Linked DNA regions of Saccharomyces cerevisiae S288C. The gene in region 2 interacts genetically with the main gene of each other region. Each region holds a gene or a part of one and is shown on either strand. Other genes may lie near its edges.

What was found.
Region 1: mutations in YFH7 (region 2) and YGR016W together harm fitness more than expected from each alone (negative genetic interaction), as found in Saccharomyces cerevisiae (one large-scale study listed by BioGRID).

Annotation. Positions count from the first base shown.
Region 1 is NC_001139.9:520,477-523,333, reverse strand, and holds YGR016W (uncharacterized protein), read right to left. Parts: upstream 1,074-2,857; coding exon 501-1,073; downstream 1-500. Other genes in the region: YGR016C-A (uncharacterized protein), read left to right, coding at 1-88; EAT1 (putative hydrolase), read left to right, coding at 1,258-2,244; MSB2 (Msb2p), read right to left, coding at 2,471-2,857.
Region 2 is NC_001138.5:157,683-160,861, reverse strand, and holds YFH7 (Yfh7p), read right to left. Parts: upstream 1,564-3,179; coding exon 502-1,563; downstream 1-501. Other genes in the region: FAR7 (Far7p), read right to left, coding at 1-327; YFR006W (putative Xaa-Pro dipeptidase), read right to left, coding at 3,110-3,179. UniProt on the Saccharomyces cerevisiae protein: ATP-dependent kinase that could be involved in endoplasmic reticulum membrane assembly.

The DNA of each region.
Region 1 (2,857 bases), on a different chromosome or scaffold from region 2:
TCCAATTGACATGGTTTTGCTCGCTCACCTCATTGGCATCATCTACTTAATTATAATTCTAGGTACATTGGTCATGTTGTTTTCTTGATAGATATGCAACGCCTCGAAGACTATTTAGCAAGCTATTATATTGAAATTAGAGACTTCTGCACTAGATAGCCTTTTCAAAACATACGGATAAACTGATCTTTTAACGTATCTGCACTTTTGTACGAAGCTGGAAAGTTCCGAAGAAAGTGTTAGCTCCAAACTGAATCCTCTTGTAAGCTATTCTATGTCCCCTTTGACTAGGTTAGTCTTTTACTGGATTTTAAAGCAGATTCCTGTGACGATGATTTTGGAATTAAAGCTATATATATGTATGCTTGAATAAGCTCGTAGCAGTACTTTTTGGCCTTGTTCACAAATAAGGAGCTGCCAACCAATCAATTTGTAATATTAGTAATAAATATTCCGGAATATACTAACCAATGAATATTACAATACGTCGCGATATAGAACTAAGCATTTTTGTATTTGTATTTCAAGCATCTTAGATCTGCGATTTCATCTTCGATATTTCGAGCCCATCTTTTCACAAGCACAGCGACCCAGAATAAAAACATTGGAACTTGCAAACAGAGCACCGTTTTTTTATCTTCGACCACATGATTGAAACTTATCCAAGCCATAAGTACTAGTAAAATAATGTTTATTATGTTAATAGAAAAATTGCTCACTCTTAACTTAAACTTTTTGAACAAAAGATAGTCGTTTACAATATCATATCTAAGTGTGATGCACGAACAGATCAAAGAATTAGCGCCAGCAAGAAGTGCTAACTTAATATACCCTCGCGATTTTCTTACGAGTATCATTAGCAGTCCGCCATATAGCAAATACAATATGCTTAACAGGTTTATGTACAGCTTATTTGTGATGTGAGCATTAGTCTCAAATTTTTGTATGAGTTCTTCCTGCTCTTCTGTATCTAATGGTAATATGGATACATCTTCTTGATCAGATTCACCGTCATGAGTGTAGTCAGAACTCAAGCTTAAGATCTTTCTATTGAATCTTCTTAATCTGGACATGATTGAAATATTTGCTTTATCTTAGTATCCTGTTTAAAAATTATTCTAAACTCAACCTATCATAGAAACCAGCCTTTACTGAATACCACAGCGCGTCTTTTGGGGAAACTGTTTTTGTCTCATGCCAAGGTCGAGACGTATACAAACTGCAAAATAAAAGGAACCGTGGGAAGAGGGCTTACAAATGTCGAGACTAGCGCATAATAAAGCGCTACCTTATAAAATAATTGTCGATTTATCATTCCATAGAACGCGTTTACCCTCAGATGTTTCATCGCTAATAAAATTCGAGCAAAGACCTGCAATTATTAACATCCATGGCCTTTTGGGCTCACACGTGATGTTTCATTCTCTCAATAAGCTTCTTTCAAGGAAGCTTGACGCGGATATTTTTTCTGTTGATGTAAGAAATCATGGCATTTCACCAAAAGCAATACCTTATGACTACACTACACTGACCAATGATTTGATTTATTTTATTGAAACTCATATTGGCTTGGAGAGACCTATTTATTTACTGGGATTCTCTATGGGTGGTAAAATTGCATTATTAACCACATTGTACAAGAATATTAATATACGAAAGTGTATATCAATTGATTTACCGCCTTATGAAACCCCAGAATTAGATCCCATGATATTACAAAACTATGACTTAATAATGCGGATTATCCGCAGAGATGTCAAGATTTTAAGAGGTTCCCCCAGCTGGCAGAAAAAAGTTCTTGAGCTTTTCAAAAGTTTGGAATGTAATAAGAGGAAATGTGGTGGAGCTGTGGCACTCTACTTTGCCAACGGTTTTCTTTCTGTAAAATCCAATAATGTACACCAAGCACAGTTACACTATGAACAACAACAGCATGATCCTTATATAAATTACTCAATGCCTCTCTCCAGCATGCCGAACCTGTTGGATGAAGTGAAAAAATGGCCGGATCTATCGAACCAAAGGGACTTCTTCCAAAAAGGCACAGCCAGTCGTAAAGTTTTATTCATGAAAGGCCTGCAGTCTAACTTTATTAACAATGATTATTCCCTCCTGAGGTATAACTTTCCCTGTGCTGATGTCCGAGAATTTAATACTGGGCATAATTTACTGTTGGAGAATCCAGAGGACTCATTCAAATGTATTCTGAACTTTTTTGCGGAGGAGACGCTGGATTTTGAATAAAATCTTGATGTACGTAACGCACTTTCTTCTCGTGTCAGGCCCAAATCAACGCACACAGCAGTGCTTCGATCTTTGATTACAAAGTAGATAATGATAAATGGAATAGATAAAAGTATTAAAACAACGTCTCCTTGAAGGAGAACTATACATAAGATATGAAATAAGTAGGTATCGTTATAAGTTTATAAGGTTATGCAAGCGGAGAAAGTCTCTGCAGACATTGCTATCAAACTTCGTTCCAACCCAGGGAGTTTTGGCTAGCAATTGGTCTTGAAATTTTTGGTATGGAACTCGATGTATTGTGCCTGGTTGGAGTTGAGTCATTATTTGTCAACCCGTGACCATAGTAACTATCATCCATCCAATTTTGAATTCGCATAGATTGTGTTATGGATTCTTGAACGCTCATTCTCTTTTCATTATTGTAATTTTTCTCTCCACCAAATTCACTTGAACTGATACTGGAAATTTCTGGGTTCTTGATAATTTCTTGACTTTGAATCCGCCTTCTTATGATATACTTGAAAGCAAAAATCATGAATAAAATATATAAGCATCCACCAACAACAACGCCGATAACTAAACCAATGATTTTTTTCTTTGATTTGCTAGA
Region 2 (3,179 bases):
ATCCAGATTGTTGCTTAGTTGCTCTTTCTCAGTAATAGGAGCTTTCCCTCTTTGTTCTAGAAATCTATTAAATAATGCAATATTTTCCGTGGTATCGTGAGGTTCTTCAGATGTCTCATACTTGTTTAAGCTTCCGGATAATATGTCTATGTTCCTTAGTATTTTCGCCTTTTCTGCTTGATTTTCCCTCAACTGTTTCACTAGCTTGTTAACTAACAAGTACATATGATTCAAGTTTTCTGCTTGAGGAGACATATATACTTGCTGCTGCTGCTGCTGCTGCTGTTGTTGTTGTTGCATTGACAAAACGTTGATTTGGTCACTCATATCTAAACCTTGGCTTGAACTTCTTGTAGAATCAATATGTATTACTTCCCATATATGTCGTAATAAAGGGCACCTCTGCAGAGTTCATAAAGAATGCCGTTTTTGCTTGCGCGCCTTAATTATCTGTATTCAGTTCGATTTTACAAAAATATATACAAGGTTCCGCCTAACCTTCTAGTCGTTGCGGATATGGACGATATTATCTACCTTAATTAAATGATTATCTATATCCCTGCCATTCAACAAATCATTGCTGCGAAACTTCTCTCGTCCTTCTGCAATAGTCGTGACTAACCCTGATTGCAAATGCCTTTTGGCCACCCTTTCTTCGGTGGCCTCATAGTCTATGTCAATCTTATAAACAAGAAGTGCTCCCGTATCAGCTAATGTTTTGTAAATTTTCTTCCAGTTTTCTTGGTCATACAGTAGGTATAACCCTTCAAGTATAACTATCCTTGTAAATTTGGAAATACAGTACTGATCTGGAGTTGGGTCTTTTAGTGCATGGTTAAATCCTGGAACAAAGATATCAGGAATTGTTTGGCTAAAAGTTTTGGATAACTTCTCAAAAACGCTTGAAGTGGAGTAAAATTTATGATGTGAGGAGACCTTACATAGGGACGTCTTGGCTAGAATTTTACACAATTGTAAGAAATTGTTACTGTCAAACGTTGAGGGCGAACCTCTTCTTTTATGGGCAGTTTGTGGGTCTTTGAATAGGTCTAGACATCTGCGAGATAAGTGAAAACCATCCATTGGGACTATTTGCGCTATATTGATACTATCCTGGGCCAACTTGTTAACATTGACTGGATTATCAACTGCTGCGATTCTTATGGCATTCGCAGTACCACCTCTGGCAACTACTGCGGTACATTCTTCATTATTTGATGTAAGGGCTGAGTACTTGACTGGTTGAAAATTAACATCCTCAACATGATCTTTAAACAGCCCCTGATTTTCAATCATTTCAGCTACTTTATTGGGCTGGAGCGTCTTTAAAGAGTCTACTAGGTTAACCATAGGTTTCAACCTATCATTAACCTCAATAACATTTGGATGCTCTGACAAAAATGTGTGATATTTTTCATTTATAATTTGACAAAGTTCTTCCGCAATAGTAGACTTACCGGAGCCTGGAGAACCGACTAGGATAACACAAACCCTATAATTATCTTCGATACGGTTATCCAATAGCTGAAGAACGTCGTCTGCTAGTTTATGCGTATCGACCATTGTGGCTAGAATGATCCTCTGGTATGATACAGGATAAAATATGTATAGTACTAGTGAAATTAACCTAACAAGGTTACTTCATTTTTCCCGAAGAGCAATACTTGATGATGCTTAAAGGTACGCATTTAATGAACGAAAAATAACACAGTTCGTTTGAGTAAAAAGAAAGCTCACAAAATTTAATACAGAAAAAAAATTATATGTAAACTGTGGACAAGTCTGATAAGCCCAGATAACCCTTCTATTTCACGAAGGTGCAAGTGCGATTGAAAAGAATTGTTTCATGGCATTAGCTATCAGGACACGAATGCATAATCGTCAAGATATTATCGGTATGCAGCAGTTGAAGTTGTTATTAATGTTATAAGGCACCATCATATGTGGCTTTGGGATGATCTTCCGCCGATTGGTGTTCATATTACAAAAATTTTATCACGCTCGAGGTTAGAAGATGGCATCAATTATGAGGCATGAATAACAAGGTTTAAGCACTAGTAATCATAGCGGATGCTGAAACGCCAAGGTTAATGAGTTCATAAGATTAACGAATAACGAGAACTTAGGTATGAGTCAAAATTTTACTTTCATAATAGATTTATCGAAAATGTGATCAATTTTCTGAATAATTTGATAACTGTTGGGATTGCATTGTTGATCAAGACCATAATATTATGTACACAGAATATGCTAGAAGTCTCCTCGAGGATGTAGGAATCCTCAAAATGGAATCGGTAGTTCTACATAATAATATTACGATTATTCCCCATTCCGTTTTATATGTTTCATTATGCTATTACATTATCAATCTTGCATTTCAGCTTCCATTAGGGTTGATAACTGTTTCTCAACTTTTATGTCATCTTCCTGAACCGCATATGATAATATGCCAATAACATGAATATTACCAAATGGATGGCATTTCAAATTATTACTTTAACAAAAAGGAACCAAATAACTCATATAATAATTACCTATTTCTCAAATAGGTGGACGACGGTTTATCCAATTCCAACAATAATAGTAATTACTAATATTATGTAGATTTTTCGATCCAAGTCCTCGAGGGCGACTCATAGGAATGCTATCTTCAATCAACAATGACATCCGAATAATTATCTCAAGTTTTACAACATTCTCAAATATTATGGTAAAAAGAAAACTTTGCAATCTGCAAAATTCTCGAATTCTGAATCGCTAGATTTCCTTATGAGAAAAGTCACATTTAAAGGTGTTAGCAGCTAGTTATTATAGTCCTATAGTTCCTGTAACAATGAATTTTTCATAAATAGAAGCGGATTTAGCTCAGTTGGGAGAGCGCCAGACTGAAGAAAAAACTTCGGTCAAGTTATCTGGAGGTCCTGTGTTCGATCCACAGAATTCGCATTCATTTTTTGCTCTTCGGGGTTGGTCCTTAATTTTTTCAGTGCCATTCCTTATATTTCCAAATCTAGTTAAATGGTGAATCCAAGATTATAAAAAAAATATACAATTCTGTGTACAAAAGAATATACTAAACTTCTAGAAGCGAGTAAAAAAAAGTTAATACCTAAACGATTACGTGGAAACCTGAACGGGGTTTCTTCAAACCTTTTTGAACGATTTTTTCAATTTCATCA